3 linked regions of the Macaca fascicularis genome follow. The protein of the gene in region 2 binds, or shares a complex with, the protein of the main gene of each other region. Links are inferred from orthologs where the notes say so. Each region holds a gene or a part of one and is shown on either strand. Other genes may lie near its edges.

The links.
Region 1: CASC3 (region 2) and UPF3B share a complex: the UniProt entries of both Homo sapiens proteins name them as parts of the mRNA splicing-dependent exon junction complex. The link is inferred for Macaca fascicularis from reciprocal best matches to the Homo sapiens genes CASC3 and UPF3B.
Region 3: CASC3 (region 2) and MAGOH share a complex: the UniProt entries of both Homo sapiens proteins name them as parts of the mRNA splicing-dependent exon junction complex. The link is inferred for Macaca fascicularis from reciprocal best matches to the Homo sapiens genes CASC3 and MAGOH.

The regions. Positions count from the first base shown.
Region 1 is NC_088395.1:126,200,826-126,211,209, reverse strand, and holds the start of UPF3B (regulator of nonsense transcripts 3B), read left to right. Parts: upstream 1-4,359; 5' UTR 4,360-4,436; coding exon 4,437-4,592; intron 4,593-5,493; coding exon 5,494-5,600; intron 5,601-5,777; coding exon 5,778-5,884; intron 5,885-10,384. UniProt on the Homo sapiens protein: Involved in nonsense-mediated decay (NMD) of mRNAs containing premature stop codons by associating with the nuclear exon junction complex (EJC) and serving as link between the EJC core and NMD machinery.
Region 2 is NC_088390.1:61,213,608-61,223,991, reverse strand, and holds the start of CASC3 (protein CASC3), read right to left. Parts: upstream 5,056-10,384; 5' UTR 5,031-5,055; coding exon 4,800-5,030; intron 4,358-4,799; coding exon 4,330-4,357; intron 4,002-4,329; coding exon 3,964-4,001; intron 1-3,963. UniProt on the Homo sapiens protein: Required for pre-mRNA splicing as component of the spliceosome. Core component of the splicing-dependent multiprotein exon junction complex (EJC) deposited at splice junctions on mRNAs.
Region 3 is NC_088375.1:181,431,291-181,441,674, reverse strand, and holds the start of MAGOH (protein mago nashi homolog), read right to left. Parts: upstream 6,121-10,384; 5' UTR 6,051-6,120; coding exon 5,963-6,050; intron 2,945-5,962; coding exon 2,886-2,944; intron 1,013-2,885; coding exon 902-1,012; intron 1-901. UniProt on the Homo sapiens protein: Required for pre-mRNA splicing as component of the spliceosome. Plays a redundant role with MAGOHB as core component of the exon junction complex (EJC) and in the nonsense-mediated decay (NMD) pathway.

The sequences.
Region 1 (10,384 bases), on a different chromosome or scaffold from region 2:
GGCGTGGTGGCTCACACCTGTAATCCCAGCACTTCGGGAGGCCGAGGCAGGTGGATCACAAGGTCAGGAGTTCAAGACCAGCTTGGCCAATGTTAGAAACAAAATGCTTGTTCCTCGGTGCCACAAAGAAACAGCACTTTTTTTTTAATTTAAATTAAACATAAATTTAATTTTCTCAGCAAGACAATTTTTACTTCTATAGAAGGGTGCAACTCGTGAATGGAGTAACGGCAAGAGCTCACCTGAACAAGGGAGGGGAAGGGGTTCTTATTCCTGACACAGGTAGCCCCTACTGCTGTGTCGTTCCCCTATTGGCTAGGGTTGGACTGCACAATCTAAGCTAATTCCGATTGGCTACTTTAAAGAGAGCAGGGGTATGAGACAGAGTGGCGGGGTAAGTAGTTTGGCGGGAAGGACGGTTAGGAACAGGTAACTAAAGGTGGCTTAGGTCAGAGCAAGTGACCAGGGGTGACTCAGGTCAAAGCAGATGACCAGGGTGAGTCAGGACCGAGCAGGTGATCAGGGGAACAGATGTGAACTACTGATTAAAACTGGTGGAAAAGGTTGTTTACTGAAACTACGAGGAAGTTAAACTTTACAATGGAAGACAAAGAACTGAACATACTGACATACCGATTCTTTGAAGAGAAATCTAGAACTCCCTGTATCCAACAGTCAATATGGTGAAACCCCGTCTCTACTGAAAATACAAAAATTAGCCAGGTGTGGTGGCACATGCCTGTAGTCCCAGCTACTGGGGAGGCTGAGGCAGAAGAATTGCTTGAACCCGGGAGGTGGAGGTTGCAGTGAGTCAAGATGTAAGCCAAGATGGTGCCACTGCACTTCAGCCTGGGTGATAGAGCAAGATTCCGTCTCTAAATAAATAAATACATAAATCTCATTCATAAATGTTGAGAGAAAGGAGACTAACATAAAAGAATACATGCTGTATGATTCAGTTTACGTAAAGTTCAAAGCAGACAAACTCAATAGTATTAGAAGTCATTCATAGAAGGATGTAGCTGCTAAAAAAGAAAAAGCAAAATGGATAGTGATATTCTTGGTGGTGAAAATGACTGGGAACAAGCAGGAAGAGAGCATCTGGAGTGCTGGCAATGTTTTGTTTCTTGATCTGCATGCTGGTTACATAAGTGTGTTCACTTTGTGAAAATTCAGCAAGCTGGATACTTTTAGTGCACTTGTCTGTACACGTGTTATACTGCAATTAAAAGTTTCATTAAAAAGGAAGTCTACAGTATGTGTTAGGCAGAATAATATCTCCTCCAAAGTTGTACACATCCTAATCCCCAGAACCCAAGACTATGTTAGGTTATACAGCAAAAGGAAATTAAGGTTGCTAATCAGCTGTCCTTAAAATAGGGAGATTATCCTGGATTTTACAGGTGGACACAATGTAAACACAGGAGTCCTTAAAAGTGAAAGGGGAAAGTGGGGAGGCCGGGAGTTGGAGACCAGCCTGGGCAACACAGTGAGACCCTTTCTCTACAAAAATAAAAATAAATTAGCTGGGCATGATGGCATGCACCTGTAGTCCCAGCTATTTGGGAGGCTAAGGCAGGAGGATCACTTCAGCTCAGGAGTTTAAGGCTTCAGTGAGCTGTGACCCTGAAAAAACAAAACAAAACTTGGAATGGCAAGGCAGAGAGTAAAAGAGATACAGACAATAGACAGAAGTAGGGGCAGGGTCAAAGAGAGACGCTATGCTGCTGGCTTTGAAGACAAAGGGTTCACAAGCCAAGAAATACGGGCTGCCTCAAGAGTCTGAAAAAGACAAGGAAATCAATTATCTCCTAGAGCCTCCAGGAAGGAACTCAGTCCTGCCAACACTTTGATTTTAGCCTAGTGAGACCCATATTGGACTGCTTATTTATTTATTTATTTATTTATTTATTTATTTTTACTTTTTTTTTTTTTTTTTGAGATGGAGTTTTGCTCTGTCACCCAGGTTGGAGTGCAGTGGTGCAATCTCACTGCAAGCTCCACTTCCTGGATTCACGCCATTCTCCTGCCTCAGCCTCCCGAGTAGCTGGGACTACAGGTGCCCACCACCACGCCTGGCTAATTTTTTGTATTTCTCGTAGAGACGGGGTTTCACTGTGTTAGCCAGGATGGTCTTGATCTCCTGACCTCGTGATCCCCCACCTCGGCCTCCCAAAGTGCTGGGATTACAGGTGTGAGCCACCGCGCTCAGCCTTACTATATTTTTTGCCCCCTCACAGGACAAACTTAAAACCTTGTTGGACTTTTAACCTACAGAACTGTAAGATAATACACTTGCATTATTTAAACCCACTAAATTTGTGGTAATGTTACAGCAGGAATAGGAAGCTAATACAGTTGGTGTGGGGGAAGATCAAGTGTTCGGTTTTGGATGCATTCAGTGGCTGAACACGTTAGACGTCTTAAGTGGAGATGTTAAATAGGCAGTTGGATACATGACTCTGATGATTTCCAAGGCTCATAAGAATGGCCAGGTACTGAAAGAAAGAGTAACAGATCCCAAATACAGGGAAACAGTTTTGGCCACAGGAATAGGAATCCAAAAATAGGCTGGACATTTAGAGTGAAAAAATTTAAGTGCAGAGTCAGGGGAATATATTCTAGAGGTCAGCAAAAATGGGAGTTGGCCCTGAGGCAGCTTTCTGCCTTGGGCTCCTATTGCATCTTTACTTTGGTTTTTGTCCTCTATGGGTGTCTGTCTGTCTCTCTCTCTCTCTCTTTTTTTTTTGAGATGGAGTCTCACTCTGTCACCCAGGTTGGAGTCCAGTGGTTCTACCTCGGCTCACTGCAATCTCCGCCTCCCAGGTTCAAGTGACTCTCCTGATTCAGCCTCCCAAATAGCTGGGACTACAGGCGCCCGCCACCATGCCCAGCTAATTTTTGTATTTTAGTAGAGACAGGGTTTCACCAAGTTGGTCAGGCTGGTCTTGAACTCCTGATCTCAGGTGATCTGCCTGCCTCGGCCTCCCAAAGTGCTGGGATTACAGGCATGAGCCACCACGCCCAGCTAATTTTTTGTGTTTTTAGTAGAGACGGGGTTTCGCCAAGTTAGCCAGGCTGGTCTCGAACTCCTGACTTCAGGTGATCCATCCGCCTTGGCCTCCTAAATTGCTGGGATTATAGGCGTGAGCCACCACGTCCGGCCGACTGAAGTGCTTTCTATCATTGTGGTTTTACCTTTTCTAAAATTTCATATAAATGGAATTGTACAACATGTACTCTCTTGGTGTCTGGATTCTGTCACTCAACATAATCACTGTGAGATTCACTTATGTTGATGCGTATATCAATAGTTAATTTTTATTGCTGAGTGGCATTTCATTCTATGGCTGTACCATATTTTGTTTTATCCCTTTGCCTATTGAGAACATTTGGATTGTTTCCAGTTTGGAGTTATTATAAATAATGTAAAATTGGCCCTTTTTAAGTGAAGAGGGTGATCACAACTAAATCAAATTGGGTTTTATTTTTATTCCCTTCCCTGTGGGACATCAGTACCTGGGGAGAATGATCCTTTTGTAAAATAAGGTGATGAAAACAAATCTCGTATATTTTGGTCATATTACTCCTTTAAATATCAGTATCTTGTGTTTATTTATTATTATCCTTCTTTTTTAGATACAGGGTCTCGCTCTGTCGCCCAAGCTGGAGTGCAGTGGCGCGATCATGGCTCACTGCAGCCTCGAATTCCTGGGCTCAAGATCCTCCCTTCTCAGCCTTCCCTAGCAGCTGGGAATACAGGCGCGCGCCACTGAACTCGGCTAATATTGTAGTGTTTACTAAGTATCTGTAAATCCTAATCAATATAAGGAAAATAAATTTTTTTTAATGTTAGGCTCTTTCTTTGAGTTGTAGGAAAATAAATTCTAAAGCCTCTGAATTCAAAGACAAAATATACAAGTCGCTCCCCTAGTGAGGCAAAATTTGGACGGCATTGAGTTTATCCGATGGAAACTAAGCGTGCAGAACGTATCTTTCGACCTGAAAAACTCTGAAGATGAAAGGATTCGATTTACTTACAAACAGGGACCCTGAGATACCTCTGGCTCCTGAACGCCCAACAAAAGCGGGCAGCTGCTTTGCATGCCGGGACTTGTAGTCCCCGACAGAGTCACTTCAAGATGGCGGAGTTGCTAATGACGCGCGAAGGGGCGGGCCCAGAGGGAGTCTGCGCCGCGAGGGGATTGGGTGGCACAGGAACTTGGCGGGCGGGAAGTAAAAACCAGGTGTTAAAACCTTTGCACTGGGAAAGGCCCAAGTCTCGCGAGAGCTTGGCAGGCCCCAGTGGAACGTGGGGCCCGACTTATCATAAGGGGCATTTGTTGGGGGCGGAGCTTTGACGGGAGCTTCCCTGGAGCCGTTGGTGACCGGGGTAGCCCCGTTCCGGCCGAGCCGCTTCAGCGGGGGACGTAGCCATGAAGGAAGAGAAGGAGCACAGGCCTAAGGAGAAGCGAGTAACCTTGTTAACCCCCGCCGGGGCCACAGGCAGCGGTGGTGGGACCTCGGGGGACAGCTCCAAGGGGGAAGATAAGCAGGATCGCAACAAGGAGAAGAAAGAAGCGCTGAGCAAGGTGCCCGGTCGGCCGCTGGCCCGGGAGAGGGCGGGACGGGTCCGCAGCGCGGGGAGGATGGCTGGGAATGGGGCCGGCCCCTTTCTCTCTCAGGTTCCCCTTCTTCTCTTCGCCTGAATGGAAGTCGCACCATCCTGGTTTATCCTTTCTCCCGAAATGGGGAGAGCCCCTCCCGGCCAAATCCTGGGTAGGGGTGAGGAAAAGGGGGGACTCCCCAAACGGGAAGGGTTTAGGTCAGAGCTGTGAGGTGATAATGGGAAGAGAGAGCGACGGTATAAAGAATGAGGAACTAAAGGTGTAATTGGGGAGAAATATTAAATACTGAAGGAGACATCAGGGATGGGAATATTATTCATGGAGGCGAGTTGGGGGAGAGTTCAGGGTGATTAATGGTACGGGAGGGTAGATCGAGAGCATCCTATTTTGAGAGCAATGGGTGGATTTTTTGTATTCGTTAGAGTTTTGAATTCTTAAGTTCAATGGGCAAGGATTTTGTTTTAAGATGTGTTGGACGTGGGAGAAACTTGTTACTAAATCAAGATTTCGTGGCACCCACAAAGACCAGGGTTGGCTTACTAATTTCTTGCCACTAGATCTGTTAAAAAATGGGTGATCGAAAATGATGCACAAACCTGGTAAACTGCAGGGCTGCTGTAAAGAGCAAAACCTGAGATTTTTCCCTGCTCCAGGTGGTTCTCATTTCCAAGCGTTTTTTTTTTAAAACCGCGTTACTATTATCTTTGACTACTTCTGAGCATTGGGCTGCAGAATATTTTCTCCTGGGTTTTTACAAGTGATCTCATATTTTAAAAAGCCCAGTCTTCTTCAGGAACTGTGATTCTTTCAGGTATGAGAGAAAATTGATTTTTACTAATTTTATTTTCCTTATGCATTTCTTAAGGTGGTAATTCGAAGATTACCTCCCACTTTGACCAAGGAGCAGCTTCAGGAACATCTTCAACCTATGCCTGAGCATGATTATTTTGAGTTTTTTTCTAATGATACGAGGTAAAAAAAAAAAAAAAAAAAAAAAAAAAAGGAAAGGGGTAAATGAAAAAGGTTTCTTTCACTCTTTTTATCCTACTGTTTTCCATTTAATTTTTGAGCTTGTCTTTAATATATGCATACTTGTAATTGGGCCAGACACCTGCAAATACATTTACATAATTGCTTTCCTCTCTGCAGTTTGTATCCTCATATGTATGCCAGAGCATACATCAACTTTAAAAACCAAGAGGACATTATTTTGTTCAGGGATCGCTTTGATGGTTATGTATTCCTTGACAATAAAGGTGAGTTCTGGTAACTGAAATAAAAAGGGAATTTCTTTGTCATTCTTTGTCATTTGTATGTTTAAGACAGTGTGTGCATTGCGTTGCTTCCTGGGTGATAAAATGTGCAACATTTAAGTAAAGAGTTTTACACATTTGATAAGCTTGTTGCAGTCTTATAAATAGACATGTGACTTTTCACAGTCCTTGGTTACTTTTATTAACTTACTATTTTTTTAATTTGATCAACTGAGTGAAATTGCAACTGTTTTCTCCTCGTGTGACAAATTTTTTGCCCTGGCTTAAACCTGCTGTTTTGACTATAGAGTTTCAGCTGCAGTACTGATAAGTGACTCTTAAACTTGTTTGATAAGTTTTAAATATTTACTTCTTATTTTGCTTCAAAGACAAACATTTATTTAATTCAAATCCATTAAGCCAACAGTTCCCAGTTGGGATACTGTTGAACATTCTCACAAAGTTGTATATAATTAAAACATGAAACTTGATACATTGGCCGAGCACGGTGGCTCACGCCTGTAATCCCAGCACTTTGGGAGGCCGAGGCGGGCAGATCACGAGGTCAGGAAATCGAGACCATCCTGGCTAACACAGTGAAACCCCGTCTCTACTAAAAATACAAGAAATTAGCCGGGCATGGTGGCGGGTGCCTGTAGTCCCAGCTACTCGGGAGGCTGAGGCAGGAGAATGGCGTGAACCCAGGAGGCGGAGCTTGCAGTGAGCGGAGATCGCACCACTGCACTCCAGCCTGGGCGACAGAGCAAGACTCCGTTCCAAAAAAAAAAAAAAAAACTTGATACATCTCGGCCCGGTGCGTGGCTCTCGCCTGTAATCCTGTAATCCCAGCACTTTGGGATGCCGAGGCAAGTGGATCACGAGGTCAGGAGATCGAGACCAGCCTGGCCAACATGGTGAAACCCCGTCTCTACTAAAAATACTAAAAAAAATTAGCCAAATGCGGCGCCTGTAATCCCAGCTACTCAGGAGGCTGAGGCAGAAGAATCGCTTGAACCCGGGAGGCAGAGGTTGCAGTGAGCCGAGATCACGCCACTGCACTCCAGCCTGGCGACAGAGCCAGACTCTGTCTCAAAAAAAAACAAAAACAAAAACAAAAAAAACCTTGATACTTCTCTTACTTTATATCTAGAAAGGTCCAGTCTATAGGCAAGACACATTTCTGCTTTAACACTCTATTATATGCTACCTACAACATTTAGCCAGAGAATGTCTAAGCTGCCATTTGCCACTTTTCTTTTTGGTTTGCAATTATAGGTAAATAGTGTGTCTTCTTGTTTAGTTTTGTTTTTTTCAATATTCCTTCAAAGTTGGTAAAAATTAAATTTTTGTCAGGGACTATGCCAGTAAAAATTGAAGGATTGCCAGTGTTTATCCAACTTTTATTAATCTCCCCAAGCCAGCTATTTTTCCACTCCAACTATTTTATTCCAGTAGATATTTAACTAGATTCTAGTTACTTAGCCTGGAAATCTGAGTTGTGTTTAATTTTTTCCTTTTTTAAAATCTCTTACATGTAAGTTATGAATCTTGTCAATTTATTGTTTATCTTTTGAGACAGGGTCTCCACCCAGGTTGGAGTGCTGTGCCGCAATCATAGCCCACTGCAGCCTGGAATTCCTGGACTCAAGCAACCCTCCCACCTCAGCCTCCTGAGTAGCTGGGACTACAGACGCGTGTCACCATGCCTGGCTAATTTGCTTTAAATTTTTTTATAGAGCTGGGGTCTTGCTATGTTACCCAGGCTGGTCTTGAACTCCTGGGTTCAAGTGATCCCCCCACCTCAGCCTCCCAAAGTGCTGGGATTACAGGTGCAGGCCACCGTACCGAGCCCAACACCACTTATTAAAGAGACTATCCTTTCCCCATTGTGGTTTTTGTTTGTTCGTTTGTTTTGTTTTGTTTTTAAATCTTAAAGACAAGGTCTACTTATATTGCCCAGGCTGGATTTTATTGTTTTTTTAATATCTTGTTCACCTAGACTTTCAGTCACACTTTATGTTCTCATCATTTAATGTCTAGACAACCACTGTCTCTAAACTTACAGGATTTTCCATTTTTCCCATTCTTGTATAATTCAGTCTATTATATTGCCATGAAATTAATCTTTTTGAAAATAATGATTTAAACTAACGGTTGGGGGAAAAAAGTCCAAACTCCTTAGCCTGGTAGTCAGGGTCCTCCATATTCTGGCCTCACTTCTGTTTCTTCAGCCTGTCTTCCACAATTTCCCTCTGTTTCAGTCTGGTTTATCTATTCCTTCTCAAATATATTTTGGTTTTTGGTTTGTATTTTTGTTTTTATCATTTTCTTTCCTTTTTTCTTTTCTTTTTTTTTTTTTTTTTTTTTTTTTTTTTTGAGACAGACCATTACTCTGTCACCCAGGCTAGAGTACAGTGGCACAATCTTGGCTCATTACAACCTCCACCTCCTGGGTTCAAGCAATTCTCGTTCCTCAACCTGTCGACTTAGCTGGGATTACAGGTATGTGCCACCACGCCCAGCTAATTTTTGTAATTTTAGTAGGGATGGGGTTTTACCATGTTGACCAGGCTGGTCTCGAACTCCTGGCCTCAAGCAATCCACTCGCCTCAGCCTCCCAAAGTGCTGGAATTACAGGCATGAGCCACCATGCCTGGCCTAATATATCACAGTTTTGAAGCTAATCTGATTCTGTACTCACTGGGATTCCCAACATAATTTTTCCTTTATGACTGCTTTGCAGTGCCTTCTGGTCAATTCTATTTATTTTTATTTTTTTTCTTATGTCTATATGCCAGTGATTTAAGGATAGGATACCTTGTTTTTGACATTCTGTGACAGGGTGCTTGTGAATTTTTTTCCCATTAGTCACTTGAGGGTTTTGTATTGAAATATAACTCACCTATAGTAAAATTTATCCTCTTAAAGCGTACAATTCAGTGGTTTCTGGTATATTCACAAAGTAGTACAACCATCAGTACTAATTCCAGAATGTTTTCATCCCTCCAAAAAGAAACCCATATCTATTAGTAGTTACCTCCCATTCTCTCCCTCCAGCCCCTGGCAACCACTAATCTACTTTATATATCTATGATTTCCCTCCATTTCATATAAATGTAATCATACAATATGTGGTCTTTTCTGACTGGCTTTTTTTACCTAGCACGATGTTTTCAAGGTCCATCCATGTTGTAACATATAACATGTCATTATCTCATTCCTTCTGCTTTTTTTTTTTTTTAACGGAGTCTCGCTCTGTAGCCCAGGCTGGAGTGCAGTGGCACGATCTCGGCTCCCTGCAAGCTCCGCCCCCCGGGTTCACGCCATTCTCCTGCCTCAGCCTCCCGTGTAGCTGGGACTACAGGCACTCGCCACCACGCCCGGCTAATTTTCTTTCTTTTTTTTTTTTTTGTATTTTTAGTAGAGACGGGGTTTCACCGTGTTAGCCAGGATGGTCTCGATCTCCTGACCTCGTGATCCGCCCGCCTCGGCCTCCCAAAGTGCTGGGATTACAGGCATCAGCCACCGCGCCCAGCCTTCCTTCTGCGTTTTTAAAAATTGTAAAATACACATAACATAAAATTTACCATCTTAACCATTTTAAGTGTACAGTTCAGTAGCATTAAGGTATATTCACACTGTTGTGCAACAATCTTGGGAACTTTTTCATCTTGCAAAACTGAAACTCTTTACCCATTAAACAACTTATTTCCTTTCCTGCAGCCCCTGGCAACCACCATTATACTTTGTGTCTCTATGAGTTTGACTACTCTAGGTACCACATATAGGTGGAAACATACAGTGTCTGCCTGGCTTATTTCATTTAGCATAATATTCTCAAGGTGTATCCATGTTGTAGCATGTGTCAGAATTTTCTTTCTTTCTTTTTTTTTTTTTTTTTTTTTGAGATGGAGTCTTGCTCTGTTGCCCAGGCTGGAGTGCAGTGGCACGATCTCAGTTCACTGCAACCTCCGCCTCCTGGGTTCAAGCAATTCTCCAGCCTCAGCCTCCCAAGTAACTGGGATTACTGGTGCCCACCACCACGCCTGGCTAATTTTTTTTGTATTTTTGGTAAATACGGGGTTTCACTGTGTTGGGCAGGCTTGTTTCAAACTCCTGACCTCAAGTGATCTACCTGCCTCAGCCTCCCAAAATGCTAGGAATTACAGGCATGAGCCACTGCCCCCAGCCTCATTTTTAAGACTAATATTCCATTATATGTATATACCACATTTTGTGTATCCATTCGTCTGTCAAGGGGTATTCGAGTTGCTTCCACTCTTGGCTATTGTGAACAATATTGTTATGAACACAGATGTGCAAATATTCGAGTCCCTGCTCTCACTTCTTTTGGATATATACCAAGAAGTGGAATTTCTGGGGTCATTTGATAATTCTATTTTTATTTTATTATTTATTGTTTATTTTGAGACGGAGTCTATCTGTGTCACACAAGCTGGAATACAGTGGCATGATCTCGGCTCATTGCAACCTCCGCCTCCC
Region 2 (10,384 bases):
TCCCAGCTACTTGGGAGACTGAGGCAGAAGAATGGCTTGAACCTGGGAGGCAGAGGTTGCAGTGAGCTGAGATCAAGCCATTGCACTCCAGTCTGGGCAAGAGAGTGACACTGTCTCAAAAAAGAAAAAAAAATTAGGCCGGGCGCGGTGGCTCAAGCCTGTAATCCCAGCACTTTGGGAGGCCGAGACGGGCGGATCACGAGGTCAGAAGATCGAGACCATCCTGGCTAACACGGTGAAACCCCGTCTCTACTAAAAAATACAAAAAACTAGCCGGGCGAGGTGGCGGGCGCCTATAGTCCCAGCTACTCGGGAGGCTGAGACAGGAGAATGGCGTAAACCCGAGAGGCGGAGCTTGCAGTGAGCCGAGATCGCAGCCACTGCACTCCAGCCTGGGTGACAGAGCCAGACTCCGTCTCAAAAAAAAAAAAAAAAAAAGAAAAAAAAATTAATTTTTTTTGGCTGGGCATGCCGGCTCATGCTTATAATCTCAGCACTCTGGGAGGTCAAGGTAGGAGGACTGTTTGAAGCCAGCAATTGGGGGCTGTAGTGAGCTGTGATCCCACAACTGCACTCCAGCCTGGGTGACTGGGCAACAGAGTGATACCCTGCCTCTTCTTAAAAAAAAAAAAAAAAAAAAAAAGAGGGCTGGGCACAGTGGCTCACACCTATAATCCTGGTACTTTGGGAAGATGATGCGGGCAGATCACCTGAGGTCGAGTTCATGACCAGCCTGGCCAACATGGTGAAACCCCGTCTCTACTACAAATACAAAAGTTAGCCGGGTGTGGTGGCGTGCACCTGTAATCCCAGCTACTCAGGAGGCTGAGCCAGGAAAATTGCTTGAACCTGTGAGGCGGAGGTTGCAGTGAGCCAAGATCACGCCACTGCACTCCTGTCTGGGTTACAGAGCAAGACTCCATCTCAAACAAAAAAAGAAAAGAAAGTTTTTAATTTTTGTGAATACATAGAAGGTATATATATTTATGCAGTACATGAGATTTTTTTTTTTGAGACAGAGTTTCGCTCTTGTTGCCCAGGCTGGAGCACAATGGCACGATCTTAGCTCACTGCAACCTCCACCTCTTGGGTTCAAGTAATTCTCCTGCCTCAGTCTCCTGGGTCACTGGGATTACAGGCGCCAGCTACCACGCCTAGCTAATTTTTCTTTTTTTTGTTGTTTTTTTTTTTTTTTGAGACGGAGTCTCACTCTGTGCCCCAGGCTGGAGTGCAGCGGCGCGACCTCGGCTCACTGCAAGCTCCGCCCCCCGGGTTCACGCCATTCTCCTGCCTCAGCCTCCCAAGTAGCTGGGACTACAGGCGCCCGCCACCACGCCCGACTAGTTTTTTGTATTTTTTTAGTAGAGACGGGGTTTCACGGTGTTAGCCAGGATGGTCTCGATCTCCTGACCTTGTGATCCGCCTGCCTCGGCCTCCCAAAGTGCTGGGATTACAGGCTTGAGCCACCGCAACCGGCGCTAATTTTTCTTTTCAGTAGAGACAGGGTTTTGCCACGTTGGCCAGGCTGGTCTTGAACTCCTGACCGCAGCTGATCCACCCGACTCGGCCTCCCAAAGTGCTGGGATTACAGGTGTGAGCCACTGCGCCCGGCCCATGAGATATTTTTATATAGCTATACAATGTGTAATAATCATGTTAAGGGTAAATGGGGTACGGATCACTTCAAGCACTTATCCTTTGTTACAAACAATTCAATTACATTCTTTTATTGACACTTATTTTTTTTTTTGAGATGGAGTCTTGCCCTGTCACCAGCCTGGAGCACAGTGGCGTGATCTCGGCTCACTGCAACCTCTGCCTCCCAGATTCAAGCAATTCTCCTGCCTCAGCCTCCTGAGTAGCTGGGACCATAGGCGCGCGCCACCACACCCCGGCTAATTTTTGTATTTTTGGTAGAGACAGGATTTCACCATGTTGGCCAGGGTGGTCTCGATCTCTTGACTTCGTGATCCACCCACCTTGGCCTCCCAAAGTGCTGGGATTACAGGCTTGAGCCACCACGCCCAGCCAATAGTTATTTTTAAATATACAATAAGTTACTGTTGACTGTAGTCACCATGTTGCAAATATGAAATTCTAGATCTTAGTCATTCTTATTTTTTAAATTTTTTTGAGACAGAGTCTTGCTCTGTTGCCCGGGCTGGATTACAGTGGTGTTGATTATGGCTCCCTGCCACCTCCACTTCCCAGGCTCAAGGGATTCTCCTGCCTCAGCCACTTGAGTAGTTGGAATTACGGGCATGCGTGACCACGACCTGCTAATTTTTGTATTTTTAGTAGAGATGGAGTTTTGCCAAGTTGGCCAGGCTGGTCTTGACCTCCTGGCCTCAAGTGACTGGCCCACCTTGGCCTCCCACAGTGCTGGGATTACAGGTGTGAGCCATTGCGCTGGGTTTAGATCTTATTCATCCTAAGTATTATTACTTTTTTGTACCCCTATGGGTTTTTTTTTTTTTTCCAGACGGAGTCTCGCTCTGTCACCCAGGCTGGAGTGCAGTGGTGCGATCTCAGCTCACTGCAAGCTCCGCCTTCCGGGTTCACACCATTCTCTTGCCTCAGCCTCCAGAGTAGGTGGGACTACAAGGCGCCCGCCACCATGCTTGGCTAATTTTTTGTATTTTTAGTAGAGACAGGGTTTCACCGTGTTAGCCAGGATGGTCTCCACCTCCTCACCTTGTGATACGCCCGTCTCGGCCTCCCAAAGTGCTGGGATCACAGGCGTGAGCCACAGTGCCTGGCCTCTTTTTTTTTTTATGTATTTACTTTTTAAGACAGTCTCACTCCGTCACCCACATAGGAGTGCAGTGGCATGATTTCAGCTCACTGCCACCTCCATCTCCTGGGATCAAACAATTTTCGTGTCTCAGCCTCCCAAGTAGCTGGAATTACAGGCATACATCACCATACCCAGCTAATTTTTGTTATTTTTTAGTAGAGATGGGTTTTCACCATGTTGGCCAGGCTGGTCTCAAACTCCTGGTCTCAAGTGATCCGCCTGCCTCAGTCTTCCAAAGTGCTGGGATTACAGGCATGAGCCACTGCTCCCAGCCCCTATGGGCTTTCTTGACTGTTGTTCCCTCTGCCTAGAACACATTCTACCCAGTCAACTCTTAATCTTTCCTGACTGACTAGGATGGATTCAGTGCCCAGCTATAACACCCTACTTAGCCCTATCCCAGCGCTATCCTCTATCAGCAAGTGGTACAATTGCTTGAATGTTTGTCTGACTTCCTTATTAAGTTGTAAGATCTCTAAAGATAGGAATTTTGTTATAGTGTTCACTGTTCCATCTTCAAGGGCTTAACAGATTCTAAAATGTAGTAACGGTTCTAAAAATTTATAGACAAAATCTTTGATCCACTATCCAATTCCCCCTGTATATAATCCCATTAGCAGAACTCAGGACTCCACTCAACAACCCAGAAAACAAACATTTATTCTGATGGCATCTCTAGTAGTTTATCCAAAAGACAGGAAACTCTCCTAGAAACAGAGAAATCCCCACCTATAAAATGATGGATGCTCTTGGCACAAAACATTCAGAATCCTACCCTTTCAAAGTCTTCAGATAGATTTGGAAAAAAAAATCCACGAAAAAAATATCCAACTGGCTGGCTTCTTAACCTCCACTGCATAAAACAAACTGTCAAACATCTTTCAGAGGACTTCAAGATGTACTCATTCTCTTATTTAGAATCTCATATTCTTCAGACAGGAAGAGAAGTCAACTAAAAGTATAACACCTGTGGCTTGAGACGGCATGCCCCAAGTTTTCCCTAGGTCTAAAGAGAACAAGACATTCTGTAACACTTTCTCAGAAGCATAAATGAAGAATACACAAGAGGATAAACACGGAGGTCATGGTACGTTTGCAACGAAGGTGTGTACACTTTCTAAAAGCATTTCTGATCTGTACCATAGGAAAAAACCTGTCATACTCACTTCTGAGTCTTCTGCACTTTCATAATCCGAGAGAACAGCTGAAATAAAACAGAAATATGTGGAAAAACAGAAACCCAGAAACATTTTTTGGCTGCTTATTATAGGTCAGACTAAGAGTCTCATTTAATTCTGACATCAACCTACAACGTGGATAAAATTATAGTCTCCACTTACAGAAGGAAAAACAGACTCAGAGTAACTTGCACAAGACTACACTGCTAAAACCTATGCTCTTAAGCACTATACTACAAAAAGCCACTCTGTGGCCCTAAATCCGTGTGTGAGAATGTCGACAGTTGGAAATAGATTTTCTGAGTTTATGTTAAAAAAAACTCTTGTCCTAATGGGGTAAAAGATGCTACTCACCATCACCTTCAATGCCATCTTCACTCTCCTGAAGGAAAGTAGAAGACATGGGTTAGTTCTGTGATTTCCAGAGGTGGAGAGCCCAATAAAGAAATGTGGGTGAAGAGCTGAAGAATGAGCACAAAATGGTCGGAGAGAGAGACAAGTAGTAGCCAAGGCAGGCCTGGTCTTTAGTAGCCAAGGCAGATCTGGTCTCCTTCCCTCCAGACCCGATTTCTGAATAAACATCCGCTTTCCATCCCCAGCGGCTCTGCCATCCTCCCAGAAACCCCCAATCCTTCTTCCCTTAGAACTCCGGATGCAAACTCGCACTGGGATAACTCCCCTTTTCTCGTAAAAACAACAAAAAAAGTCCCAGTATCTACTATCAACTCCCAGACACCTAGCATCACCTACACCCCGCCCCCGGCCGGCCGGCTCGCCGCCCGGTCCCCACCCCACCCCGCCCCGCCTCGCCTGCGCGCACTCACACACTCCGACTCCTCAGCGCTCTTGGCGCCCCCGCTCTCCACCCGCCGCAAATGAAGGGCCCCGATTCGGCCTCCGCGCTGTGAAGGCAGAGAGCCGCTGCCGCCGCCTCCAGCGCTACCGCTGCAGCTCCCGCCGCCCCGCAACGGGGAGCCGCCGCTGTCTGAGCCCGAAGCACCAGATTCCTCGTCCTCGGTGTCTTGCGAAGCGCGCTGCCGCCGCCGGTCCGCCATTTTACGGAGAACGGCCACCGCCGGCGAGCTACTTACGCACCGCGCCCGTCCCAGAGGCTGCTGGGAGGCTCGCTAGCTAGTCCCGGCGTGCTGCGCGTGCGGCGCTCAGCCATCCCGCTTGGGGTGGGCGGGACACGGGGCGGGGCCTTGGCCTGCGGCAGGTTTGCGGCGGAACCGGATTACGTCTATCGGTGATGTAAGGGGGCGTGGCGCGGCTTCTGACTTCTCTTAGGCAGGCCTAGGGCGAGGGGAATTGAGAATTCAGCTGCTTCCCGGGTTCCTGGCCCGGCCATCTTGGGCTTCCCGAGTGGAAGGCATCGACCTGTCACAGCTTTACTGCAACACTGGGGTTGTTTCATGGTTTTCTGTTTCCGTTTCTCAGTTCTACCTACGTTTGAAGCAGGTCAATTTACTGCATTCCTTTGCTTGGTAATATCACGAATCAAGGTAAATCTTAAAAGCCGTAGTGCTGCGTCAGATTTGCTACACCAGCCCGGTTTTTAAGATAACGAGCGAAGGAGAAACCAATTGTCTGCAGTGAAGCCAGAGGACTTCTTGTTGCAGCGTTTTCTCTGTGTTCTCATTTCCTCTTCACGTTTCTTCCCACCCCAGCCATCACCTGTCCCAAAGTGCAGGCTGGTATGATGCCAGTGTTATCGGTTTGATTTGGTTTGGTTTTGAGGCAGGGTCTCTTGCGCAGGCTGGAGTGCAGTGGCACGATCACGGCTCACTGCAGCTTGACCTCCCGGGCACAGGTGACCTCCCTGCCTCAGCCTCCTTCGTAGCTGGGACAACCGTCACACACTACCACACCCGGCTAATTTTTCTATTTTTTGTAGAGATGGGGGTCTCGCTATTGCTCAGGCTTGTCTCCTGGCTGGGCTCAAGCGATCCTCTCGTCTCAGCCTCCCAAAGTGCTGGGATTACAGGCATGAGCTACTGCCCTTGTGAGGATTTTAAAACCTATTTAAAAATAAATGGTCAGTAGAAACGGATGTTGATTCAAAATCCTGACATTATTTCCTTCTTAAGGTTCATGGAAATTCTTTGATTTTGGCAAGGCGTTTGTCACCAATGAAAAGAATCAATGTATTTTCTTTGTACCATTATAAGGATATACAAAGTGCATGAGCTAAGTTTTTAGTGTACCTACAGGAGTGCACGCTAATAATGTATGTATCAAACAAAGGCCACTATGGCATAGGATTCTTTCCTGAGTAAAAAAAAAAAAAAGTTTTTTTTTTTTGAGACGGAGTCTCTGTCGCCCAGGCTGGAGTGCAGTGGCGCCATCTCGCCTCACTGCAAGCTCCGCCTCCCGGGTTCACGCCATTCTGCCTCAGCCTCCCGAGTAGCTGGGACTACAGGCGCCCGCCACCACGCCCGGCTAATTTTTTGTATTTTTAGTAGAGACGGGGTTTCACCGTGTTAGCCAGGATGGTGTCAATCTCCTGACCTCATGATCCGCCCGCCTCAGCCTCCCAAAGTGCTGGGATTACAGGAGTGAGCCAACACGTGCAGCCTTTCCTGAGTAGAATTTTTATAAATAACATGGTTAAGGATCCTGATGTTTATCAAATTTATAGACAACATGAAACTGGAAGTAATTATGAATGCCTTCAGAGATTAAATGAAAATTCAAGGCCGGTTACGGTGGCTCATACCTGTAATCCCAGCACTTCGGGAGGCCAAGGCGGGCGGATCACGAGGTCAGGAGATCGAGACCATCCTGGCTAACACGGTGAAACCCCGTCTCTACTAAAAAATACAAAAAGCTAGCCGGGCAAGGTGGCGGGCGCCTGTAGTCCCAGGTACTTGGGAGGCTGAGGCAGAGTGGCGTGAACCCGTGAGGCGGAGCTTGCAGTGAGCCGAGGTGGAGCCACTGCACTCCAGCCTGGGTAACAGCGAGACTCCGTCTCAGAAAAAAAATTCAAACAATCTCAGCTAATTAGACAAGTGGCCAAACGTGACGACTTGTAAGTCCAGCTCCAAAAGCCAACTGCCTGAGTTCAAAATGGAGGATATATGATTTAATAAGTGTTAAAGTAAAAGACCTGGAGGATCTTATCGATCATAAGCTAAACTGGTGCAAATAAGGCTGCCAAGTTTAGTGTCTAAATAAGGAAAGTGATAGTCTGCCACTTTGTCCTTCAGTTGTTTGGTCTGGGTCCAATTTAATTTTTTTTTTTTTTTTTTTTTTGAGACAGTCTTGCTCTGTCGCCCAAGCTGGAGTGCAGTGACCAGATCTCAGCTCACTGCAAGCTCTGCCTCCCGGGTTTACGCCATTCTCCTGCCTCAGCCTCCCGAGTCGCTGGGACTACAGGCACCCGCCACTTCGCCCGGCTAGGTTTTTGTATTTTTTAGTAGAGACGGGGTTTCACCGTGTTAGCCAGGATGATCTCGATCTCCTGACCTCGTGATCCGCTCGTCTTGGCCTCCCAAAGTGCTGGGATTAGAGGCTTGAGCCACCACGCCCGGCCTGTTTGTTTTTTTTTTTTTTCCAGACAGAGTCTCGCTCTGTCACCCAGGCTTGAAGTGCTTTGGCGCGACCTCCGCTCACTGCAAGCTCCACCCCCCGGGGTTCATGCCATTCTCCTGCCTCAGCCTCCTGAGTAGCTGGGACTACCAGCGCCCACCCACCACGCCCGGCTAATTTTTTTGTATTTTTAGTAGAGACGGGGTTTCACCGTGTTAGCCAGGATGGTCTCGATCTCCTGACCTCGTGATCCGCCCACCTCGGCCTCACAAAGTGCTGGGATTACAGGCGTGAGCCACCTTGCCCGGCCTCGAGCCACAGCAATCTTTAGGGACTATGAAGAAAAGGAGGGATTGATCTTTTTTTCATTATCCTAGAAGGCAAAGCAAAAACCAATGGGTTTAAGTTACAAGAAGTTAGATTTTTGTCAACAAGCAAGAATTTTCAAACACTTAGGGGGAAAAATGTAATGTAAAAAACAAATTGTTGAAGCAGAAGCTGGAATTTGCTCCTCTGGAATGTTATCAAGGGTAAATCATGTATCGGGGTCACACTAGATGACCTCTAAGGTCTTTCCAACTGTAAGATTTTGTTAACTTAGACACCAGGGACCAAGTATCCTATAATCTCGTTTCTGAAGTTGCTAATTATACTTTTCTTTTTTTGAGTTGGAGTCTCCCTCTGTCACCCAGGCTGGAGTGCAATGGCATGATCTCGGTTCACCACAACCTCTGCCCCTCCTGGGTTCAAGCGATTCTCATGCCTCAGCCTCCCAAGTAGCTGGGATTACAGGTGCCTGCCACCACACCTGGCTAATTTATTGTACTTTTAGTAGAGACAGGGTTTCACCATGTTGGCCAGGCTGGTTTCGAACTTCTGACCTCAGGTGATCTACCCGCCTCAGCCTCCCGAAGTGCTGGGGTTACAAATGTGAGCCACCATGCCCAGCACCCCCCTTTTTTTTTTTTGACCAGTCTTTTTTTTTTTTTTTTTTTTTTTTGAGATGGAGTCTCACTGTCACCCAGGCTGGAGTGTAGCAGGTTGATCTTGGCTTAATTCCACTTCCCAGGTTCAAGAGATTTTCCTGCCTTAGCCTCCCAAGTAACTAGGATAACAGGTGCATGCCACCACACCTGGATAATTTTTGTATTTTTAGTAGATGAGATTTTACCGTGTTTTACTGTTGGCCAGGCTGGTCTTGAACCACTAACCACAAGTGATCTGCCCACCTCAGCCTCCAAAGTGCTGGGATTACAGGCGTGAGCCACTGCACTCAGCCAAGTTGCTGATTATACTTAAGGAAGCACACTAGACAATTGAGAAGGATGAAACATACATTCTACTTATATACAAATGAAAGTGAGTATCTTATATAAAGGGGAAAATAATGTGTTACTCTTTTTTATTGTGGAAATGGATTTCTTTTTCCAATGTTTCAAATATACAAGCAGAATTGTTTAATGTTTGCCAATAAATATAATAAATTGAAGCAGAAGTTCAAAAATTAACAGCCACAATAGTTTATTTACAATTGAACTCTTTATAAGATATTTACAAGACAACCAATTTTACACATCAGAAATGGTATCAAAAGTTATGAATTACAACACAGACAACAATATGAAATGGGCATAAAACAAAGCTGAAGTAGACAGACAAGCAATTTTTTTTTTAATTTATTAACACTAGCTTAAACTTTGTTAAAGAAAAACAAACAACTATGTTTTAGGAGAACTGCAGGGCCTTCAGTTGAAGATTGAATTCACAGTGTTGTATCCCATGTAGGGAAAAATAAGACTAATTTTCCCCCCACACTCTAACACACTGTAATTTTGCACTTGGAACTTTGCTAATCTACTCTCCAACCTCCTTCTCAACAAAGTCAAATCAAAGGAGAATTAACCTAGAAGAGGGGACAATAAAATAAGAGGTCCTCAGGGAGAGGGAGAACCAAGGAAAGAGAATCTACTTAAGTCTGGCCAAATAGCACCTCGTGGATTCTTCTCAGTCTACTTCAAGTCAGAAACTGGGGAGTCCCCTGGGTAGGGCACAAACATAATGGTTAAATTTGCTAACTCATATCCAAAATTAGGAATCTGACACATGCTGAAATCAAGAAGAAACTGAGAGGGATCAAAGAACAAAGTTAAGAGACACTGATTGTGTCTTTCTTCTTTTTGGACACGTTATGAAGAAATATAACATAGGTAAGAGTAAGAAAAATTGAACATCCTGCCACATTAAAATGATGGAGAACAAAGAAAATCTGGCCCAGTTTTTCTAGAAATCTCCTTCTCCTTAAGGTGTGAGATGAGAGCCCCTAGTGGAATTAAGTCCTATTTCTCTCTACATCCTTGCTGCAATGAAGTTTACAGCAGGTTCCCTTATAGAGAGCCCACTCTCCTAAGCAGATGGAGTTACAAATGAAAACCCATAGCCACACACACACACACACAAAAGGAGAAATAAGAGCAGCAAGATCATCCAAGAATACTACATGTGCTGCCAGAATAATTCCTTTAAAAGTCAAATCCAGGAAGCACAGATCAACATCTCACAAAAAGCTTTAGCAGTGGGAGGCCCCTGAGGAACTTTTCTCTTCCCACAATGGTATCCCATTCTCTCTCGTGCTCCACTGATGGGCCAGCCACACACCCTACATACCTTGGCTTCTCCTCTAAAAGTGCTAATAATCTGGGGACATATTCTCTTTAAGGATAAAAGCCCCTACCTTCTAGGAGATTAGACCCCTACTTGTTTTCACACAATAGTCCTGAAGACTAAAGAAAGGCAATTCCTATATATTTGAGACCAGAGGTCTTGGCTCTATTTTCCTTTCAGATAGTTAATAGGGATCTTACACTGAGACCAAAGTGGCCTG
Region 3 (10,384 bases), on a different chromosome or scaffold from region 2:
CACGCCTGTAATCACAGCACTTTGGGAGGGCAAGGTGGGCGGATCACCTGAGGTCAGGAGTTCAAGACCAGCCTGGCCAACATGGTGAAACCCTATCTCTACTAAAAATACAAAAATTAGCTGGGCATGGTGGTGTGTGCCTGTAATCCCAGCTACTCGGGAGGCTGAGGCAGGAGAATCACTTGAACCCAGGAGGTGGAGGTTGCAGTGAGCTGAGATCATGCCACTGCACTCCAGTCTGGGCGACAGAGCGAGACTCCGTCTCGAAAAAAAAAAAAAAAAATTACATTGGCTTTCAGGATGGAAAAATGGATGGTATGGAACAAGAGGAAAAACAAGGGAACCTATTAGAAGTCCAGAAGTCTGGATTAGGATGGTAGCAGTCAGAGTGAAAATACCTTTTCTGTTAATTCAGTTCAATATGATAGTGGTTTTTATTTTTTAGTTAACAAAACGGTGCTCGGAATGAATATATAATGTATATAAATACACATGAATTTAAATACATATACTGAATTATTTGTATGATTTTCCTTTCATTAGATTGGTGAAATAATCATGTTCTATTTTTCTTTGTATCTCCACAATGCTTTGTCCATAGTAGTTAGTAAATGAGATAGGCAGCAAAAGCTTTAAGTGGAGGAGGGAGTGTGGGGGGTCCTAAGAAGAAATTCAAGGCTGGGTTCTTGGTGGCCAGCAGCACTTGTTCTCTCTGTTCCTTCCTGTGGGATTAATGCTTCCTTAGACCAAGGTGCTGGCAATCTGCTTTCTGCAGGGCTGACCACCACCACCACCACCACCATCACACACACATGCACACAGTTTCACTATCATATGCAGAGCACTAAACCTCATCTTATTTGTAAGATTTCTGCACTACAGGATAATCAATAAAACATACCTGCCGGCCCACTCGGTCAGGAGGAGGCCACAATGCATCATCCTCTTTGGTAATTTCACTGTCATCGATTATTCTCTTCAGTTCCTCCATCACGCTTTTATGTACATAAGCCTGAAAGCAAGTTAAAAGACAAAATGTATGTTGTATCCTTAAGCAGTGCTTTGACTTAGATAGTGATGGAAGATAAAAATAACTGTTCCTGCAGACTTATTTCTGGCATCTTCTTAAGTGGGAAGACATTCATGCTCAACCTCGGCATGATGCAGGTGAGGGACAGGGTCAGAAGTATCTAATAAACTGCACCTCAGTCCCCCATCTAGCTGTTACTACCTCCTGGTACATCCTGTTTACATGGCCCTTCTGCCTGTCCACACAGCCAACTCACAAAGAAACCCAAAATAGATCTGTGAATGCCCCCTGCTATGGTTTGAATTTTTGTGTCTCCTCCAAAATTCATGTTGAAATTAATCCCCAATGCAACGGTGTTAATCAATAGGGCCTTTAAGAGTTGATTGGGCCTTGAGGGCAGAGCCCCCATGGATAGGATTAGTGCCTTAGGAGACAGCTTAAGAGAACTAGCTGGCCCCTTGCTTGTTCTTTCACCATATGAGAACACTGCATTCATCCCTTCTGGAGGATGCAAAAACAAGGCACAGTTGTGGAAGCAGAGACTGGGCCCTCACTAATCACTGAACCTGCCAGTGCCTTGATCTTGGACTTCCCAACCTCCAAAACTGTGAGAAATATATTTTTATGGCTTAAAAATTACCCAGTCTCAGGTATTCTGTTATAGCAAAACAAAAGAGACAGCAACACCTACATGCCCTGGTTTATTTTTTTTTGAGACGGAGTCTCACTCTGTGGCCCAGGCTGGGGTGCAGTGGTGCAATCTCGACTCACTGCACGCTCTGCCTCCTGAATAGCTGGGACTACAGGCACCCACCACCACGGCTATATTTTTTTGTATTTTCAGTACAGACGGGGTTTCACCGTGTTAGCCAGGATGGTCTCGATCTCCTGACCTCGTGATCCACCCACCTTGGCCTCCCAAAGTGCTGGGATTACAGGCGTGAGCCACCGCGCCCGGCCAGTTATTCTTAACTAGGTAATACGCTCCTGAGGAGCAAAATGTATTTGAAAAGATATGCCTGTGTAAAAAAATAGTGAGAATGTTGACATGTGTGAATAAGCATGAAACTGATAGCTAAAACAACAGTATGAAAAATATATGCTAAGACATTTTCAAAGGTGGCAGAGTGGTTAAAAGAGTAGCTTTGATGAAGCCTTAATGATGTAGTAGAAATCACAGAGAGGAGAATACAAACTTTACTGGGGAATTCCTTTAATTGGGAATTCCTGCTGTATCTCTTACTAGCAGGGGTAACTCTGAACAAGTCTCATAATTAATATCTGGGCCTTTATTTTCTTATTTGTAAGGGGGCTATAATACCCTCCCCCATCACATGGGCTTATAATCAGGGTTAAATAAGATGCCATGCCTGACATCTAACATGCATTCAATGATATCAACTGCTTTCCCATGCTCCCTTTCCCACTCAGATGCAAATTAAATAGCTCTCCATTGTGTACTATGTGCCAGGGAATATATAGAGCACTTTAAGTATAACACATTTAATTTTATGACAGCACTTGGGAGTGGGAGGTAGCTTTTATTTTCCCTGTTTTTGCAGGTGAAGAAACAGAGATTTAATCAAGTTCAGCCAGGAACTTGCCCACTGTCACATGAGGTAGTAAGCAGCAGACTCAGGGTTCAAACCAAGGTATGTCAATGGTTACCAGTAATTGATTCCACATTGTAAAATAAAAAAATCCCAACTAAAAGATGATTTGGGAAATAATCCAGAAGCTGTCTACAGACATGTGTCTCTCTCCCTGTTCTTTACCTTTCAATACTAGATACAACAAAAACAATGCAAGACAAAAAGCTGAAATGTAGAAAATGAAGGCCTCTCAGAAGGCATACCTCTTTTCTGATCATGACATCATTCTTGTAATTGCTGTTGTTGGCATATCTTAACTTCCCTGTGGGGACAAAAGCCAAATTCAACATATAATAAAAACATGAATAAAGCATCAATACCATACCAAGACTATCGGCAGTTGCCTAAAATGTATCCAACTTGCTCAAAGTGTCTAAGACATTTATTATTTACTCTTAAGGTAGTTCAACAATACTAGTCTTTCAGTTCTTCACTTCAGGCTTAAACAGCCAAATATACAGCTGACACTCAACTACTGCAAAAAGCAGCTCAGGTGAGGTAAAAACACAGGCAGGCTCTTTTCTGACTTTGTCGAATCACATTTTTGCAGGTGAATGTCCTGAAAACAGGCAGAGTAAATGATAACTTACCAGCACATAGGACCTCCTGAGGCTCAAATGAGTTGTGAAAACATTTTGAAAACTGTAGGATGCTGTTTACATATATTATCATGTGACTGTGCCACACTCTATTTCTGTGATGGAAAAGTTGTTGCTTTTATCACTGAGCACATTTGGTACACAAGACCCTTTGTCCATGTGTGCGTCTAACAGGTTAATGTGAATACATGGTGGGGATGAGGAGAAGATAGAAGGAAACAGAAGACATGTAGACTAGAAGACATACATGTGAGATGAGCCCAGTGAATTTATTCCAACAGTCTCTGTGCTGTCTCTCTGCCTCAAGTTTCTTCACATTCAGTTCACTGTCCATATAGTGGACAAGGTGATGTGGTAACAGATCTATCAGATTAGGTTACTCTAATACTTTGATAAAGTCAATGGCTTTCCGCTGCCTTCCTGGTTAAAATCCGGCCGGGCGCGGTGGCTCACGCCTGTAATCCCAGCACTTTGGGAGGCCGAGGCGGGCAGATCACGAGGTCAGGAGATCGAGACCATCCTGGCTAACACGGTGAAACCCCGTCTCTACTAAAAATGTAAAAAATTAGCCAGGCGTGGTGGCGGGCGCCTGTAGTCCCAGCTACCTAGGAGGCTGAGGCAGGAGAATAGCGTGAACCCGGGAGGCGGAGCTTGTAGTGAACCCAGATCGCGCCACTGCACTCCAGCCTGGGCAACTGAGCAAGACTCCATCTCAAAAAAAAAAAAAAAAAATCCAAACTCCTCAACATGGCATACGGCTAAGCAAAGCCCCTGCCTGCTTTTCCAGCCTCACTCCTGCAATATTCTTCTCTCACACAGCTGGAGTCGAACAACTTGGTTTCTGCCTGAAACATCCCAAGCACTTTTTGGTTTTCAGCCTCTTTGCATGCTGTCTAAAATGCCTTCTTGACTCTTCTTGGTCTCCTAATCAATACCTCACATCCCCTCCTCCCATCATTTTATGTAGGAAGCCTCCTCTGACCCTCAGGCTTGGCTAGGTGCCCCTTCTCTGCTGCAAGTCTCCTCTGTTTCTTTTTACCACAACACCTAATACGCTGTTTGGTCCCTGCTTACAAATCCATCTCCCTCACAGTCGGGGCCTGTCAGATACATCTTTGTGGCCCGCTTAATGGATGTTTTCTGTCATCTTTGATTCCTCTTTCCTTCACCACAGTGCCTCCGCCAAAAAAATCCTATCAACGATCAAAGTCCAGTTGATTCTGCCTCCAACAGTTTCCTAAATCTTTCTCTCCATTTCTACTATCTCTGTAGTCCCAACCGACATCTTTTTTTTTTTTTTTTTTGTGACACAGTCTCGCTCTGTCACCCAGACTGGAGTACACTGGCACTATCTCAGCTCACTGCAACCTCCGCCCCAGGTTCAAGCGATTATCCTGTCTCAGCCTCCCGAACAGCTGGGATTACAGGCATCTGCCACCACGTCCGGCTAATTTTTGTATTTTTAGTAGAGGCGGGGTTTCACCATGTTGGCCAGGCTGGTCTCGAACTCCTAACCTCAAGTTATCCGCACACCTCGGCCTCCCAAAGTCCTGGGATTACAGGCGTGAGCCACTGCGACTGGCCCCCAACATCTTTCTTGTCTTGACAACAGTCTCCTAATCAATAGCCCTGTTTTCACTGTTGCCCATTCCGCACCCAATAACCAGAATGCTTTTTCAAGAACAGATCACATTTCTTCTCTGCTTAAAACCTTCCAAGCCCGGCCAGGCGCGGTGGCTCACGCCTGTAATCGCAGCACTTTGGGACACCGAGGCCGGCGGATCGCCCGAGGTCAGAAGTTCGAGACCAGCCTGGCCAACCTGGTGAAACCCTGTCTCTACTAAAAATACAAAATTAGCCGGGCGTGGTGGTGGGTGTCTGTAATACCAGCTACTCGGGAGGCTGAGGCAGGAGAATCGCTTTAACTCGGGAGGCGGAGGTTGCAATGATCCGAAATCGCGCCATAGCATTACAGCCTGGGCAAAAAGAGCGAAACCCGTCTCAAAAAAAAAAATAAATAAAATTAAAAAAGCCTTCCAAGTCCAAACTCTTTACCCTGGTCTATAAAGATCTACAAGGTGCGGCTCCTACTACCTATCCGACATCATCTCCTGCCATCTCCCAGCTCACCACTCTTCAATCACACTGACCACCTGAGACATGCCTAAGCTCATTCCCGCCCTGCAGCCTTGACTTCTGGTATTCCCTTTGGGTAGAATGGTCTTCCTTGTGAGCTTCACAAGGCTGGGTCCTTCTTGCTAATTAGGGCTCAGCTGCAATATACCATTAGAGCTCTCTAATGGCCAACCTATCTAAAAGCAGCCCATCCAGCGATTCTACCATATTTTCTGACCACTCACTGCTATCCGGAATCATCTTTTTATGATCTCTCTCCCAGCAGTAAAACACAAGTTCCACGAGAGAGGAAGTTTGTCTATCTTCGCTGTCGTATCCCCAAAGAGTGGAACAGAGCCTGGCACACAGTGGGCGTTCAGCCAACGTTTGTTGTATGGATAAAACGACGCCGTGGAGCAGACACAGTGGCGCTCCTTTCAGATCCGCACTGCACAGGTCTCAGCCCCTTCCTCCTCTAGTTCCCCACAGATTTCCGACCCTCGGCCTCCCCACTCGCCCGCCCCAAGGCCTGGTCCCGCTCCGGGCGGGCGGCAGGCTGCTTTTACCATCCGGTCGGAACTCAAACTCCAGGAACTCGTGGCCGAATTTGCCCTTGTGCCCCACGTAGTAACGCAGATAAAAGTCACTCTCCATGGCTCCCAAAAGACAACCGAGCCTGAACTTCCAACAGCAAGCCGCACTGCTGCGGTCTGCGCCCGACACTGACGTTTGCGGCGGCGCGCGGAAGTGACGTCAGATTACGCCGTCGCGTAATGGAGGGGTTCCTTCTAGCTAACCTATTCGCCCGGAAGTGACAACAAGACTGCCACACCCTCTCACGCCTAGGAGGTAACGAACTTTGTTTAACCCGGAGGCGGGGCCAACCAGCTCCGCTTCTCCACTTGGACGCGGGAGCGAGGTTGAGGTTGGTACCCGCTGGGTTCTCTCCCGGCCTGAGGCCGAGAGCCAGCCGCCTGCCTACCTCTGGGCTTTGAACGCGGGGTCTGGTGACTTCGCTTAAAGATCTCGGACCGAACACCCCGAGCCTTGCCCCCGCCAGGCTCAACCTCAGTTCACAGGACCCCCGACTTGTGTGAGTCGTACACCGCTCTTTACCGTCTCTGGACCTAGGTCATCTCGGCAGTAAAATGGGGTGAAATGACCCGACCTTCCCGGAGGATGCCGCGCACGATGTGTGTGCCTCAAGATGGCTTCCGTTGACCTGAACTGTTAAGAAAGCCCTCCTCAGTGACGCCTTCCCTGAATCCACAGTGGAGATTGCCGTTTCCCTGGAACTAGTTCACCCACACTTACCCATTTCGTCCTTTTCCACCTTTTATTTCTATCTTTCTGCCCCACTGATCTCTAGAATAGGTGCTGTGAGAAGTTAGAGTATTTGATCTCCCACTCCCCAGTCATCCCACTTACCGAGCAGTGATTCTCAGCCTGGCTGCACATTGGAATTACCTGGGGAGCCTCTAAAAATACTGATGCCAGGGCTCTACCCCAAGCCAATTAAAATCTCCAGCGCTGGAACTGGGCATTGGTACTCTTTGTAAAGCTCTCAGTTGAGGACCACTGACCAAAGAGACTCTTTTCAGAGCAAAGTTGTCCTCTGTGAAGCCATTCTGGCTCTGGAAAAAATTTACAGTTGAGTAGGGCCAGAGCAATCAAGATCATAATTATTTAATAGGAGCCTGCTCTCACTCGTCTAAGTTCCACACTTAGAGAGAATGAATGGTTCTAGAGACAGTGCTGAGATGACATCATTCTTGGGGCCTGGCAACTAGAACAGTATAAGATTCTGTAAGTCGGGACAGCAGTCTCTGATTCCTACCCCCAGTCTTTTTTTTTTTTTTTGAGACAGAGTTTTGCTCTTGTTGCCCAGGCTAGAGTGCAACGGCTGGTTCTCAGTTCACCGCAACCTCCACCTCCTGGGTTCAAGTGATTCTCCTGCCTTAGCCTCCCAAGTAGCTGAGATTACAGGCACGTGCCACCACATCCAGCTAATTTTTGTATTTTTAGTAGAGACAGGGTTTCACCATGTTGGCCAGGCTGGTCTCAAACTCCCGACCTCAGGCGATCCATCCGCCTCAGCCTTCCAAAGTGCTGGGATTACAGGCATGAGCCACCGTGCATGGCCCCCAGTCTTAACAATGAGTCCTTTTCTCCCTGAAAAAGCATTAGCAGCAGAGTGTAGAGTAGGTGTGGTGGGGGAAAAAAACCATTGGACACTGGTTAAAATAATCTTTTGTTTTAACAATGACTCATTGTAACCAAAGGTGAACTGACTCAACTTTTTAGACTTCAGAGTTTCCTTCTCTTTAAAATGAGCATAAAAACGTACACCTAGCAGAACTGTTATAAGAAACAATGTCTCGGAAACTGTAAATTGCTATAAAACCATGACATTTTTATTACAAAACACCGCATATTGGTAGTAACAAGGGAACTGTATAAAAGAGAAGGGGGCTAGACACAGTGGCTCACACTTGTAATCCCAGCAGTTTGGGAGGCTGAGGCAGAAGGATCACTTGAGCCCAGAAGTTTGAGACCAGCTTGGGTAACATAGAGAGACTTTGTCTCTACAAAAAATTTAAAAATTAGGTAGGTGTGGTGGTGCACACCTGTAGTCCCAACTACTTGGGAGGCTGAGGTAGGAGGATAATTTGAGCCTGGGAGGTCAAGGCTGCAGCGAACCATGATCATACCACTACACTCCAGCCTGGGTGACGAAGCAAGACCCTATCTAAAAAAAAAAAAAAAAAAAAAAAAAAAAAAAAAAAAGAGAAAAGGGAACCATCAAGCACCTAATAAATGTCAGCTCCTAGGCTGAATGGGATTACCTGTGCTTGTTTTTCGAATCATCACAACAATTTTGAGGTGGTAATTAGAGTTAAGTGTGTAGAGGGATTAAGCAATTGCTACAAGGTTATTTTCCAGGAGTAAAATTATAAAAATCATAAGTGAATCTGGGGATCTTCAGATGTGGCAAATAACAAAAGTGTTGAGAAATTTAAAGGACACACAACTCCAGTCAGGCTGTAAAGTAATCCAGGTTTCTGGATATGAGACGTGGTGTAACTGAAAGAGCATGGTCTGTGTGTGTCTGCCGTGCCTGCATTCAGCATCATTTATTGAGCATCCACTGAGTGTCATGTGCAGAGAGAGAGGATACAATGTTGGGCAAGACAGTTCTTTACAGAGCTTGCAGAGGAGGAAGTTAAGGAGCATACAAGCAATTACAATGTAAGGATAAGATTTCCAGTAAAGGAAGCACAGAGTACTATGGAAGCACATGAGGTGACTCCTAATACAGTGTAGGGTCCTTAGGGAAATGTTCCTGAAGGAAATGTTCCAGACAGAGGCCCAGAACTGTGTGATTAGAATATAGAGCAGTGAGTGATGAGGCTGGAGATGGGGCAGAAGCTGAATCATGAAGGGCTTTATAAACCATATTAAAAGAGTTTGGGCACACCCAAGAATATTGAATTTTAGTGCCAGCAAAGCAGTTGAAGGGCTTTAAACAGGAAAGTGGAAATAAGTGGTGGTGATACATCTATGGCACTTTAGAAAGACACTTTGGCTGCAGTGTTGTGGGTTAGATTGGAAAATGAAAAGACTAGACGTATGACATTCAGATAAGTAGTTAAAGTAATCTATTAGCTGGGCAGGGTGGCATGCGCCTGTAGCCCCAGCTACTCAGGAGGCTGAGACAGGATAATTGCTTGAACCCAAGAGGCGGAGGTTGCAGTGAGCTGAGATCATGCCGTTGTACTCCAGCCTGGGCAACAGAGAAAGAGACCTTGTCAAAAAAAGAAAAAAAGAAAAAAAAAAAAAAAGGCAAGCAAAATAATTATCCAGGCATTGTGGCATGTGCCTGTAGTCCCAGCTACTCAGGAGGCTGAGGCAGGAGGATTGCTTTAAGCCCAGGAGTTTAAGGTTGCAGTGAGCTATGATCCTACCACTGTACTCCAGCCTGGGTAACAGAGTGCGACCCTGTCTCTTTAAAAAAAAAAAAAAAAAAAAAGTAAAGGAGATAGAAAAGTGGATGGATTTGAAGTGGAATACCATAATTTAAAGGGTGGGCAAAGGAGACGAAGATGTGGCCAGAGAGATAGGAGAAAAACCACGAATATGGTATCATGGAAGCCAAAATAAGAGTATTCCAAGAAAAGAGTGGCTAACAGTGTTAACTACTGCTTCCAGGTCAAGAAAGATCAAGACTGAAAATGTTTACCAGATTTATAATCGAGGAGGTCCTGGATGACCTTGGCAAAAGCAACCCCAATGGCATAGGAATGAATGGTAGGGCAGAAGTATTGGGATGCAAGTAGGCAAAAATTGTTATAGAGGTACTGAGGTGAGTTATCTAACCTAGTCTTAGAGAGAAGGGAAGGCTTCCTGGAGGAGGCATTACCTAAGTGGAGTACTCAAGAACAAATAGGAATTAGTCATATAGAGGCAGAGAGGGAAAATTTAGGCAGAGAATGCTACGTTACAATTGATCTTAGGGGGCACTAAAAATAACCTTGTGACTTTGGGCAGTTACTTCACCCATTTTCTCATCTATAAAATGGGAGTGGATAGTATTGATAGTATTTACCTCACCGAATTGTTGACAAAGATTGAGATAATGTATGTAGAATACTGGTACACATTAGGGACTCAGTTCACTCCCGCTCATTAAAGTATTACAATGAAACAATACTTAAAGATTTTTTAAAAATGAATTTAATCTCTCTCTAGAAACAGTGCACTGATTTTACAAATGTCCACATTTGGTTTTCAGTTTACCAAGATTATGTTAGTACAGCTAGTGAGATGCAGCACGCCATCTTCAGCCCCCTTGCCTCTGGAAGAGACACCAGACTGCAAAGGGCACCGCGCACAGAAGCTAATGGAACTTGAATGAAAAGACAAAAAGAGCAGAACTGGTTAGTGTGACACAACATTCTAACATGCCTGATTCTTACATCGAATATGGT